Linked DNA regions of Drosophila melanogaster. The gene in region 1 interacts genetically with each later gene. Each region holds a gene or a part of one and is shown in the gene's direction. Other genes may lie near its edges.

Region 1 (7,299 bases):
AGCGAGGCACGCGTCCAGGTGAATTCCCCCTACAGACCAGGCAAAGTATCCACCCAGTTGATCCGCAAACCTGCGAGATCCGATTTAAAATCCTATATAGAATTTGGGTGATTCGTAATGGGTGATTAGGAATTAACTCTTTTGGGGTGTTATTTATAGTTAAGGTACTTCTTCTTACCTTTAATGGCTTAGAAATAATTAGTACACGTTTCTTTATTTCATTTAATTCAATTTCCCATTTCTTGTATAAAAAATATAATTTAATGAATTAAAACAAAACACACTGAGTTGTAAGAGCGCAATGTGCAATATGTACAACAAATATAAGGAAATTGAAGTGATTTTGATTAACTTGGTCAAAAATATAAAAATAAAATTTTAGCTTTACTTGGCCTTTTGGATTATTATCTCATAAAATCTTGCAAATATTTCAAAAATATTAAAAGAATATGAATCTAGATCTTCGTTTTTAGATCCAACAACAAAAGGCCAAATCTATATAGAGTAAATTACCTTTTTTAATTGCAGGTGTGGTTCCAGAATCGCCGGGCCAAGTGGCGCAAGCAGGCACGACTGCAGCTCCTCCAGGACGCCTGGCGGATGCGCTGCCTCAGCCTGGGCACGCCCCCCGTCATGGGCGGTGGAGCGGTGCAGGGCGGATCCGGCAACGGAGCTACGGCTCGACCGCCCAGCCAGACGCCGGAGAACCTCTCTTCCGCGAGCAAGGATTCGGAACTGGCGGAGGTGGGCAATGGACCCAATTCGGGGAGCTTCACCATGATGCACCCGGCATTCCAGCAGCAGCATCAGCAACAACAGCACCAGGGACACCAGCAGGCCACGGATCAGGATAAGCTATCGAAGACCTATACAGAACTAAAGCTCTATAAGGCGCCGTCGCACGGCATGGAACTGGGCGGAATGGCCGCCCTATCCGGACACTCCGACGAGGGTTCCGATGGATCCGATTCCGAGGAGATTGATCTCACCTCCGGCGCCTGTATCGATTTCTCCCAGAGCAGCAAGCTCCAGCAGCAGCAGCAGCAGCAACAACAACAGGGAACTCAGGGGGCGGCGGGATCAGCGGAGGCGAATGGAGGCCTGTAGACGAGGACTTTTATCAAGATACGGACAGATATAAAGATGCGGACACGGATACGAATGCGGATACAGATACTGAAACTTTCACTTGTACAGTGCTCACTCCAATAAAAGATTCGAATAACCACTTCATAAGCATATCCTAAACATCTGTATGCGTATCTAAAAGTGGTTTCCTTAGGTGATGAATTTCTAAAACGGACACAACACATTTTGAATATCCTAAATTTCAAATTCGAGCGCAATCTGTACACATAAATATGGCGATGTATATACAAAACGGACATTTAATGTACACTTTATTTAATCAATTACATCTGTTTAGCAATAAAAAAAAGATATATGAAACCCAGTATCAAGTTCTTTCTCTGTTTAGATATATATTTATATATACATTAGTATATACATTTCTATTATATTTTAATATTCAAATATTACAAGTAGGAATATTTTTTTTTTTAATCCAATAGATAAGATCACTTTTTAGGTTTTTTATTGGATTTTTTCTTACAAGCAACTGTGGAAGTATTTTGAAATTGACTCAAATCGGCAGAAAAGAGAATCTGAAATAATGATATTATAAGAAACACACAGACTAAATTGCAACTTTCAGTGTACTTACAGCTTGAGCCCAACCGGCATACTTTCCGTGTAGCTTTTGAAAATGTTTCGAGACCTCTTCGTAAATCTTCTTGGTTACGTTCTTTTGGCCGGTTAGATGTGGCAGGTAGTAATTTTGGGCAATTCTGTAAATATGAATGTCGACGGGCACTGACTCCAAGTGACCCATTGACATAAGGCAGATGCAATCGGCCACTTTGTATCCGATTCCGGGTAGCAGTGTCAGCTCCTCGCGAGCTTTTTCGAACGGCATGCTCTTTAGGCTTATGAACCAGTTTTGTCCCCCCTTTTTCTGGATCTCTTGCAGCGTTTGTGCTATGAACTTGGCCCGATAACCGAACTTGGCAGCCCTTAGCTGGGCATTAAGATCCTCGCATGGGATGTCGTGGAATCTATTTATCGTGGGAAATGTATACGCATCGGCACCATTGAAGTGACCAATCTTGGTGCCAAATGTAGCGCAAAACCATTCAATCATAGATGATATGCTAAGAAGAAACCAATTTACTGTATTTAATGATGGGATTCGCATTTGATTGAACCACCTACCGCTTGATGTTATTGTTCTGACTGCAAAGGAAGCTAAAAATGTTTTCGAACGGCTCCTGAGAAAGGAGGCGCACAGGCTTACTCAAGAACTTCACAAAGTTATCATCTTTGCTTAACCAATCTTTTTGGTTGACCTTTAGGTCGAAATCAACACGTAGGTAGTCAGATATCAAGGAAGAATAGTCCTTCGTGGCCAAAGGACTGCTGGTTCCGTATGCCTCGTAAGTTATGAAGGATTCTTCTTGCTGGAGCACCCAGTAGGTGTTGAACACCACTCCGCCATATTTCGTTCTATTACCATCGCATATGGATCGCCATCTGGCATGTAAAGTTGTTTTGAGTACATATGTTCATTATTAGTATGGATAGCGCTTACCGGAAACTCTGTCCTCCAAGCAAAGTTCTTTCCAAATCGCATTCTTCGAGGGATAAGCCTATGACACCCCGATCCTGTAAAACAGCCTTCATGTTTGAAAAAAGGCGCTTTTTATGGAAACCTAGGTTATGAGCCAGCATCCGGTTTTATAAACAACTTAAGCCGTGTTTTGGCATACTTAACAATAGTACTTTGTCACGTTTAAATAGTAAACCACATTAAAACTCGAGTTTAAATCGAAAGAAACAAACTCGCTGAATAAAATGTGTTATTGCTATCAGCTGTTTAGCATTTGTTTACCGTTCGGGGTATTCACAACATTCTACTTTTGCTTAGACGCCAGTGTTGGAAAATGTAAATTTTCTGTTCACAGCTGCACAATAAAGTACCAATAAATGCAGCAATGTAGACGAGGGCTTCGAAAAATGCACCTAATTGAACAGTTATATAGTCAAGCCTGTTGCCTTGAAAGGAAAAATAGTTGCAGTATTTTTCATGTTGCGTTAAAGCACGCAGTACGAAATTACCTTTAGGTATAAATAAGACCAGGTACATCCCGTACATGAAATATCCCGATTATATTATCGAACCATATATTATCGATAGCAGACGACTAATTTGATTTGCAAAAATTGCACTCCAACAACAATGATTTCTATCTGCTGTTCTCGTTTTTCATGCATTTTATTTTTGCTGTTCCTGATCTTTTCCCTCGTGCTGAGCTACATATGGTGGAGCCCGACGAAAGGAGGAACCAATCCGGAGGTCCTGCCGGTCGTTCTGTGGCACGGAATGGGCGACACCTGCTGCGTACCCTTCAGCCTGGGTGCCATTATGAACCTGATCGTGGAGCAAACAAAGGGCGGCTATGTGCGATCCCTGCAGATCGGCGGCAATGTTTTGATAGACTGGCAGAGCGGCTTCTTCATACATCCCAACGAACAGGTGGATTACGTTTGCAAGCAACTACTGCAGGATGAGCACCTGGCCAAGGGATACCACGCCATCGGATTCTCGCAAGGCGGCCAGTTTCTGCGTGCGGTTGCCGAACGTTGCCCGAATCCGCCAATGAGGAACCTTATCACACTCGGTGGGCAGCACCAGGGCATCTTCGGACTGCCCATGTGCCCCACCTTAACCGAAAAGCCCTGTGATTATATCACGAGGCTACTGGACAACGCCGCCTACGCACCGTGAGTCTATCTGTTGTTAAGGAATCCTAATATAATATAATTCCTGGAATTTACATGCTTATTAATCCAACACCACCATGTCGCCATCCTTGTCGTTTCCGTGTTAATTCTCTCTTCTCTCTTGCATACCATACACCCAGTGAAGTGCAGAAGGCATTGGTTCAGGCCACCTACTGGCACGACCCGATCATGGAGAACAAATACCGCCTGGGCAGCACATTTCTCGCGGACATTAACAACGAGCTCTTCATCAACAAGTTCTACATTGAGAATCTGCAAAAGCTTAAGAAGTAAGCGCGTATTATACTTATACATTTATCAAATATTATTAACCTCTGCTTTGCAGATTTGTGATGGTGCAGTTCCTAAACGACACAATTGTCCAGCCGAAGGAGTCCCAGTGGTTTCAATACTACACCACTGGGCAGAACAAAGTCATCCAGCCCTTTACTGAGAGCAAAGTCTATCAGGATGTACGTATGCATATCTATCACCTAACGTTCTAATATGAAATGTACATTTTTTCCTAAAGCTGGGACTGGACAAGATGCATCGACAAGGACAACTTGTCTTTCTCGGCGTCGAAGGTGATCACTTGGCCATATCCAAGGCCTGGTTTATCCAGAACATAGTGCCTCTCTTACTCGAAAAATAAGATGGTGCCCAAAAAGCACGTATTGTGACAAAAATGTTTGCATAGGTTTAATCCATTCTTCCTATTAACATAAGCATTTTAATATTAATAATGACTTTTTGATACTTTTATACATGTTTAATTAGATGTTTAATAAATTCAGTTTGGACATACAAAATGTGTTGATTTACTGTTCTTATTTTCCTCTTTTTCTCGCTTTCACTGTTTATCTTAATAACTTAAACGTTAGGATTACGTCTCTTGTAGATGTCTTAAGTAGTTGTGCCCGATATTTCTCTGAAATATTCAATGCAAGGCAACCGCGTGCTCCGACTAAAATTCCATACACGTATCCGTATCGTAAATACTCCGTATATATATATATATATATATATATATATATATGTATGTATGTATATGTATGTTTTGTTAGGTATATAACGCTATGTACATGAGGCAAATAACAAAAGCAGCTTACAGACAACCATAGACAGATAAATGTTTACACATAGCTATAGTTTAGATAGGCGATTGGGCGGAGAAAATTGCGCGAAAGGTTGGAAAAAGGAAAGTCAGCGGGAGCGGGAATTGTAGAATTGTATCCAAGTCATATGGCAAGCACATTATAACTTGGACTTTGGATTGGTGTTGCGCGCAAAGAAGATTTCCGGATCCTTGTGCGGACGCTGGATCTCGCGATAATTGTTGACTATCTTTTTGGACTCATCTTTGGGACACGATTGCAAATTGCGAAACACCTGAACCTGCAAATCAAAAGAGGTTTCTCAAATTTAGTGTTCCAAATGAAAGTATTTGGGGGATCATCTTGGTGAGAAAAACACGCACCTGGCCGCGAGACACATAGATGGGGGTGCGGTATATGATCCAGGTGACACTCTCAAAGTACGGCGCCGTTGTCAGCGAACCCTTGTACGTGTAATAATGTTTGCTCAGCTCCTGCAGACCAATCCATGATAGGCAATCTAAAAAAGCAGAGCCAAGAGTAATAGAGTAAGTCACATTTTTAAAACCATACTCGGTGAAAATTGCACACGCACCGGAATCCAGCGATGCACTCGTATGGATCTTTTGAACGATGCGGATGCCCTCGGTGATCTTCTTGAACTCGGGACAGTCCTTCTCGCCGCAGGCCTGAATAAAGAATGCGACGACGGCCAGGCCATCGGGCTTGTTCTTGGCCTCCGTGAAGTCCTTGTACTTCGAATTGTAGTGGACGGCATGGGCCTCCATTGAGTACTTCATGCCCTCCAGTGTATGCTCGCAGCCGGATTCATCGCAGTCCGACCAATGGAAGTGCAGCTGCTCGAACACGTACATGTCCTGCTCCAGGGCACCGCCGATTATGTATGGCTGTTGTTTTCGCTTGCTGAATGTGACCATTGCGGAGGTGCCTGTGTTCTGTACCCGGGCCACGCCCACCGGCTCCCAATGGCCATGGTACTCTAGTGGATCCACATCGTCAATGTGCTCGATGGCACGGTTGCTGATCTCAATTGGGGATTGTACGGGCATTGCGCTTTCCCAGATTCCTCCTCGAATTAAATTATGCTAAAAAACAAAAGCACATCGACATTAGAATTCGCCAAATATTTCATAATTAAGATGATCAAAGCCAGTGAATTCAAAGCTCATTCATAATAACATAAGAAAAGACGAGCCAACGATCAATGTATAACAACAAGTGATCAATGATCTCAGATCTCAGTGCATTCCGCACATATGCACCTTTTTTCCAGTTTTGATCTCCTAATCCTAGCTCCTAGCACCGATTCCTAGCACCCAAACCGCACTGGCTACTCCACTCCTCCACCGACGACGACTCCCTATGTGATATGCGCTGCGTTCAGGTATTTCTTCTTCCGGAGCTTGTACACACGCCCGCGATCGTCGGCGCTGGCGTCCAAATGCTCGGCTGGTGACAGCAGCGCGGCTCGCGGCGGCGGTGGCGATGTCGACGTCGTGGTGGCGACTGCTCCGCTGGGCGCTCGCGTCTCGGAAAAGTTCTCTATGCCGGCGCCTCCAACGACCGACGCCTGCTCCTCCTTTTCAGATCCACGGATTGGTTAAGCCCGCTTGGAAATGCACCTGCAAGAGGCAGAGAAATCGAGTTAATAATGTTCAGCTACTTTAAGGATATAAACAAACGCGAATTCATGAGCATCTTCCGTTTTGGGTGTAATTTCTATAACCGGATATATCCAGCAATATCAAGTGTGTAAAAGCGGTAATTTCCTGTATCCAGAGCGAAACGAGAGTCTACCATTCACGGCCACGGAATCAATTAAATGTTTAGCGACTCGCGTGCTGTTGATCCGCCCCCTTCGCCATCCCCCTTCACCAACCCCTTAACCAACGAAAATTGATACTCCGCGGCCAATGCATTTACCACCCGCCACCCGACCATCCGCCTTTGATTAGCCATTTGTGTAATTAAAGTGCGTCGAAGGACAGAATAAATGTCTCCATTCAATGGTGGAGCACCGCCTCTTTTGGTCAACTGCTTAAATATTCTGACGACCAGAGTACCAAACAAAGTTGTCATCTTGTTTGCACAATTTCCAATTGACTCGTTATAAAGTAATTTTCATCTATTGATTTTCACTTTATTTGCAATTTCAATAAGGCACAATTGAGGCGAGCTTTCGACTGGGAAACGTTGCCACAATTAAATATTGATTGGCAGCGAAATTCTTGCAATTGACGCAATAATGGAGTGTTAAGGATATGCACAAAAACCGATGGCCAATTTATGGGTCTATTAATCTATAAAATCGATAAAGGGTTTGAAAATTCCGAAGATCCCA
Region 2 (6,785 bases), 7.2 Mb from region 1:
AAATATATATATCAACGTCGGTTCTCAGTGAACGGAAATTCCAAATTTATATATCGTAACGTTATATTTTCGATTTTTTCCGATGTTATTCCAAATTAATAGAATATATGTTAATATTTTTATAATCTGAAACACGGAAAAGACAACAACTAAAATGCAATTTAAATTATTAAATAAAAATGAGCAAACTTGGTTATTTAAACACTTGCCTGTTATATGGCATGTTACTCTGCAAGCAACTGTCGAAAATCAACTTTTATTCTGTGAATTCTTAGATATGAAGTTAAATGAAGTGCAAATAAGCTATCCCCCAAATTAAAGTGGTCCAGAGTGCTCGAAATTATCGTCCATCTCTAACGCATTTTAAAAACGCAAGTGGCTGGTCTCACTCATGTTATTCCACATTATATTTTGTATTGCATTCTATTTTATCTAAGCTAGCAAATATATTTAAGGCAACTAGACTAAATGTTAAGCATTCGTGTTTTAAGGCTACAAAATGGACACTCCGTTCTTAACAACGCCTGCCAATTGGCACTTTCGCGAAACAAGAGCTCCAAAAGGTCGAGCAAAGACAACGTAACGCGACAGGGAAAAATATTTGGCTCGTTGTTTGGAAATCGGCTTAAAGGCAGCAAAAGCCATTGGTATCCATCGCCCGATGCAGGAACATCAGGCAATCAAAAGTCGCTGCACGCCTTAAAGTTTGGAACCCCACACTCGAAGACAACTTGCAGCCACAACAATCGACGCATGTCTGTTCTGAACAAGTTGTTCATGACGAACATCACTGATATTCTGGCCACCGGCGCAGTTGCCGATTCCATCGTGGGACACGGAGTGCAGATTTCCTATGTCAAGATCACCAGCGACTTCTCCCGCATCAATGTCTATTGGATGGGCAAGGATGGCGGGGAGAACCAAGAGCTCGAGAACACATTGAATCGCATGAGCGGCAAACTGCAGCACGAGCTATCGCAGCTCCATCTGATGGGCGAAGTGCCAAAGATCAAGTTTGTCCGGGACAAAACGAGCACTGGTCTCCATCAGGTCCACGAGGTTCTGTCCAAAATCGATCTTCAGCACAGTTACTCTAGTTCAAATGCGGAAGTTGAAGAAAGCGACGCACAGAGTTGTCAGACGGCTGCGGATGAGGAATGGCCGGAGATGCGACAGGATTTCCTCAGTTTTAACCATAGCTTAGTTATGGACAAGATTCTCGGCAAGATGCGCAAGTCCAAAGATGCCTGGGTTAATCATAGACAAAATATTGCGAAAACCTAACGTTTGTTAAATCCCTCGACTTATGTACATAATGTTAATTATTAAAGTGTTATTCAATCCAATGTAAATTGGGTTCTAAAGTTGAAAATAGGGGTAGGGTCTGTAAACGTTTAATCATTTTCCAATAAGTTTGAAATGTTGGCTACTTTTATCCCAACTAGTTCATCATGTTGAGTGGTTTTAAAATAGAGTATCGATTGCGTTTCTAAAAAAAAGCTTTAACGGCTTAAAATTGAATGTCAAAGGTCAAATCATTACCATACTCGATTATGTTATTATGCTTTTAAAGCTTGCGCACTGCATCTGTATCTGTTATCGATATAAAGCAAAAACGCAGAAAAGCCGGACATGCGCATAAAATGAATAGTTTTATAAGCTTTTAGTATTGGTTATATATTCCCTTCAGGATATGCATATTGTAGATGTGCATTTAATTTAATAAATAGATAGATAATTACTTGTAAGTTAATGTAATCAAATCAGCTGTTTTTGATAGTTGCGATAGTAGGCGACCTTGCGCTTAAATTGATATCGATGTCGGATAAAGCACTGGACTTGTTATCGAAACCAACACTTAGCTTCGGCATACGGAAACTATTCGATATATCGATGTATCGCGAGTGATTCACCCAGCCCTATCAATTATACCAAAAAAAATCAGACCAGACCAGCTTATCGGGTACAGATTGATTACTTTCTTGCATCTCTAGTTTTAGTCGAAAAAATCCATTGAAACGATTTGGAAGCGGAGTGTGGTGATAGTTGTCAGTTTTGCACAATAAGAAGAATATTTGTTTAAAAGACCAAGCCAAAGCCCAAATCGCAGTGCGCTCTTTGTGGCGATAAACATGACATCTACACTAACACAACACAGTTACGCCTGAGAAATAAGTGACAAATTGGAAAAGTCGATGATAAATTCGTTTGGGAGTATATATACAAATTATTTTCGTGTAAATGTCGATAAACACTTTTGCTCGCAAAACCCAACAATCATACCCGTCTTTACCTTCTTCGCGATTCCAATTCCGATTCCAATAAGTTTCGCTACATCGCCATTATAATCCGAAGAAGCAAGAAAGGTTATTGTGGTGGTACATACAATATATCGGGTTGGTTAATCGTGTGGGAGAATGAGTAACTCATGAGTGCTCTCCAATAACGATTTCTGTTTGCAATTTTCCCCATTCCCCCACGATTTACGCATATTTGTTATTAACCACCACCCCCACCGCCGCACACAAATTTTGTCAATTTTTTTTTTGTGTTATCTATACAAACGAAAAGAAAAGTGATGGAACGCATGAAAGTATTTATAATGCAGCAATTGTATTTTGCAGAGGAGTGTGTGCAGTGAAGTAAAGCCAGCGATTAAAGGAAACAGCATAGAAAAAAAAAAGACCCGGGAGCTGAGCAGTAAAAACACAAACATCCGGACGAGTTGGGATCGCAGTTCGATCTGATCTGATCTGATATCTAATCTAATCTAATTGTGAGGGAAATCGGACCTCGCCGCAATGGATAGTTTAATTACAATTGTTAACAAGCTGCAAGATGCGTTCACATCGCTCGGCGTCCACATGCAACTGGATCTGCCGCAGATCGCGGTGGTCGGTGGCCAGTCAGCTGGCAAGAGTTCCGTTTTGGAGAACTTTGTGGGCAAGTGAGTATCCCCCGCACGCCTTATCAGCATATTATCCTCTCATATGGGATCATACTATCATACCATATCACCCTATCAGCACCCCAAATATCTAGCCTACATATATTGTGATTGATAATGGACCTGAAGAGACCCCTCTTTGGCATGCAGCGAATCGATTTTTCTGCACGCCAGTGCTCAGCGAAAAGTAGCGCTATTCTTTCTATTATGTCTGCGTTTCGTGGAATGCCCAATTAAATGTTACTGAAAAACTATGAGTAATCGCTGATAGCACTCGCTTTCAGGCATTATTATTATTTTTTTTTTTTTTGGTTGTTTATTAACAATCAATAATTGGTGTCTACGAAACAAGTGTACTTGCTCATAATGACCAAACCATATCAGTGGTCTTAACTTAATTATGATAATAAGAATTTTATCTTTCACCTGCACAAAGCTGTTGAAAATCCAAAAGCCCCGCAGCTCTGCAAACTATATTCACAAAACGAATTGTAGAACATCTACGTATACGTATTTTGAATTTTGTTAAACAGAAATCTAAATTGTATGTATCAATGCGATTTCTTGTGTGTTTGTATCTATAAGCCTGCGCTGTCTCTCATTTTTCTTTGTTAGTGTCCACTCTAAATACAAACATATAAAGAAAACAATGGCTTACGCCCCAAAAAAATGCAGATAAGGCCAAAATGATAGTGTGTCGGCGATTTAAGTTTTTCCCCACTCTTGCCCAACGATTGAGTAGAGTAACTCACATTCTATATGTTTACTTTCGAATATATTTGTAAAAGTTTGACCTCCTTTAGAGTCGATTTATTTATTTTTCATAGCTTGCAAATAAGGGGGGGGGGGGGTGCGCTGAAAAAGAACATTAATCAATATGCCCATTCATGTATTTACAAACTGCATTGAGCCATGTAAAGTTTGTGCTTACATAAGTCCACTATGTTCAAAATAGTCCAGTTAGATTTCGCATGCGCCGTGCTTTATATGTATGTATGAATGTATGTATGTGTGTCAATTAGGGTGGTTACCCCGCCCCCCGCCCACCTGACACCACTGAGCCATCGGAGGAAGCGAGAGAGGCAGCGAGACCCACGGCCACGGCAGGCCAAAGTCTTAATGTCAATGGAAAATGAAGGCTTCTTCTAACTCTGGTCAGTGCGAACAGGATGTAGGTGACCAGAGTGTTCAAAATGACCCATTTACCATTTGATTTATTAGCCTAGCTAACAAATAGCTTTACTTTAAGTACTCAGTGGTATTAAACAATGCCCAACACTTTTGGAGTCCTGAAGTTCTCACTTGGAAATTTAAACACTAGCTGCAAGTCATAAGTTAAATTTCCATTAAGTTTTTAGTATTGGCAACTCAAATACTCATTATTCGATGCAATTTCAAAATGTTTTGATACTAGGCTTAATGCTTTCTACATACTTCTTAAGCCCAGTAGTAATATTGTTAGATGAACAGGCTCCACAATCCAAAAACCAAAGACTTCTATGATTCCATTATTAAATACAAAACGTTTTCCCCATTTTACAGAGATTTCTTGCCGCGCGGCTCTGGTATCGTAACTCGGAGACCACTAATCTTGCAACTGATCAATGGAGTTACCGGTAAGTTGAGCATTTGATATGATTAAAGAGAAGCTATCTTCTAATGCTAACATTGATATTTATTGCAGAATATGGCGAGTTCCTTCACATTAAAGGCAAGAAGTTTTCCAGCTTCGATGAGATCAGAAAAGAAATCGAAGATGAAACGGATCGTGTGACCGGTAGTAACAAAGGCATTTCAAACATTCCAATTAATTTGCGCGTCTACTCGCCGCACGTACTCAATTTAACCCTGATCGATTTGCCAGGCCTGACAAAGGTGGCCATTGGCGATCAACCGGTGGATATTGAGCAGCAAATTAAGCAGATGATATTCCAATTTATTCGCAAAGAGACTTGTTTAATTTTGGCTGTGACCCCGGCCAATACGGATCTGGCCAATTCGGATGCCCTCAAGCTGGCCAAGGAGGTGGATCCACAGGGTGTGCGAACCATTGGCGTTATAACCAAGCTGGATCTGATGGACGAGGGCACCGATGCACGCGACATTCTGGAGAATAAGCTGCTTCCGCTGCGACGTGGCTATATTGGCGTGGTGAATAGATCCCAAAAGGATATCGAGGGGCGCAAGGATATCCACCAGGCATTGGCCGCCGAACGCAAGTTCTTCTTGAGCCATCCCTCCTATCGGCACATGGCCGACCGTCTCGGCACCCCCTACTTGCAGCGCGTGCTCAACCAACAACTAACCAATCACATCAGGGACACGTTACCTGGCCTGCGGGATAAGTTGCAGAAGCAGATGCTCACTTTGGAGAAGGAGGTGGAGGAGTTTAAGCACTTTCAGCCAGGCGATGCTAGCATCAAAACAAAAGCTATGCTCCAGTAAGTTCAAAAAAAAAAAGGATTTCCGTTTGTAGCTCTTGATTAAACTGGTGTATTTACATTCCTACAGAATGATTCAGCAGCTGCAATCAGACTTTGAGCGAACTATCGAGGGCAGCGGCTCAGCTTTGGTGAACACAAACGAGCTCTCAGGTGGCGCCAAGATCAATCGCATTTTCCATGAACGGTAGGTGTTTGTGGTGTCTTTTTGAAAAGCCCCCTAAAACTGATATGATAACATCTCGTTGCTTCAGTCTGCGCTTTGAGATCGTAAAGATGGCTTGCGATGAAAAGGAACTGCGACGAGAGATCTCATTTGCAATTCGAAATATCCATGGTATTCGCGTTGGCCTCTTCACACCCGACATGGCGTTCGAGGCGATTGTCAAGCGGCAGATAGCGCTGCTCAAGGAGCCGGTTATCAAGTGTGTCGATCTAGTCGTACAGGAACTTTCTGTGGTCGTGCGCATGTGCACAGCTAAAGTAAGTTGGCTTATTTGCTGGCACCAAGCTAAGCACTAAGTTTATATATTTTTTTTTTTTATCTTTGAACAGATGAGTCGATACCCACGTCTGCGTGAGGAGACCGAACGTATTATCACAACACATGTGCGCCAACGCGAGCATAGCTGCAAGGAACAGATCCTGCTGCTTATTGACTTTGAGCTGGCCTATATGAACACCAATCATGAGGACTTCATTGGCTTCGCCAAGTGCGTATTTGATCATTTGGAAAGGGGCGTAGGGAAAAACTAAATCTTGCACTCATTATAGCGCTCAAAACAAATCAGAGAATGCCAACAAAACTGGCACTCGTCAACTGGGCAACCAAGTCATTCGCAAGGGTCACATGGTCATCCAGAACCTTGGAATCATGAAAGGTATGCACGTTCCCCCCACCCCCAATGACATTCTCAATCAACTTGCTATTGATTGAAGGGCAGTAACCTTGTAAATGGTGACAGAATGCTTTGTTAGAAATTTAGTTTTCAACGTTTCCGAAATGAAAGAAGAAGTGCGTTAAGACTGGTCACCGCTTGGTGGCTTGGTGGTGGTCATTTTGAAACTTTTATAATTTGTATTTTTTATGTGAATATTGTCTTTGTCATTGAAAGATATAAAATTAGGACGATCTGGACCGCTAAACGTACGATTTTTCAGTCCTTCTACAGGTACTATCATGTTTTCTGTTGCTTTTGCTTTGCGTTCTTTGGATAATTAATTAGAACACGCCACTCTTTTGCATGTGTTATACTTTCAATCATTCTTGAATCACTCGAATCGAACACGATTGCTGCTGACCTTCCATAGGCGCGTCGAGCATCCTTCTTTATATGAAGGATACGTAGGTACAATATCCAGCTTAGCTAACAAAATTGATGATGATTACTTCTCGA

What was found. A genetic interaction does not mean that the proteins touch.
Region 2: of Ppt1 (region 1) and shi, changing one enhances a phenotype caused by changing the other (phenotypic enhancement), as found in Drosophila melanogaster (2 studies listed by BioGRID).

What each region holds. Positions count from the first base shown.
Region 1 is NC_004354.4:8,685,976-8,693,274, reverse strand, and holds Ppt1 (Palmitoyl-protein thioesterase 1), read left to right. Parts: upstream 1-3,047; 5' UTR 3,048-3,196; intron 3,197-3,228; exon of another isoform or gene 3,229-3,256; 5' UTR 3,257-3,295; coding exon 3,296-3,840; intron 3,841-3,980; coding exon 3,981-4,130; intron 4,131-4,186; coding exon 4,187-4,313; intron 4,314-4,372; coding exon 4,373-4,495; 3' UTR 4,496-4,648; downstream 4,649-7,299. Other genes in the region: CG11294 (uncharacterized protein), read left to right, coding at 1-18, 529-1,107; Ogg1 (8-oxoguanine DNA glycosylase), read right to left, coding at 1,578-1,664, 1,724-2,210, 2,272-2,589, 2,648-2,787; CAH3 (carbonic anhydrase 3), read right to left, coding at 5,098-5,238, 5,321-5,457, 5,533-6,007. UniProt on the Drosophila melanogaster protein: Cleaves thioester-linked long fatty acyl groups such as palmitate from modified cysteine residues in proteins or peptides.
Region 2 is NC_004354.4:15,890,204-15,896,988, forward strand, and holds the start of shi (shibire), read left to right. Parts: upstream 1-1,996; 5' UTR 1,997-2,048; exon of another isoform or gene 2,049-2,378; intron 2,379-2,624; 5' UTR 2,625-2,801; coding exon 2,802-2,947; intron 2,948-4,489; coding exon 4,490-4,563; intron 4,564-4,631; coding exon 4,632-5,388; intron 5,389-5,458; coding exon 5,459-5,575; intron 5,576-5,642; coding exon 5,643-5,871; intron 5,872-5,943; coding exon 5,944-6,101; intron 6,102-6,162; coding exon 6,163-6,269; intron 6,270-6,503; coding exon 6,504-6,560; intron 6,561-6,785. Other genes in the region: CG15916 (uncharacterized protein), read left to right, coding at 469-1,284. UniProt on the Drosophila melanogaster protein: Microtubule-associated force-producing protein which is involved in the production of microtubule bundles and which is able to bind and hydrolyze GTP. Implicated in endocytic protein sorting.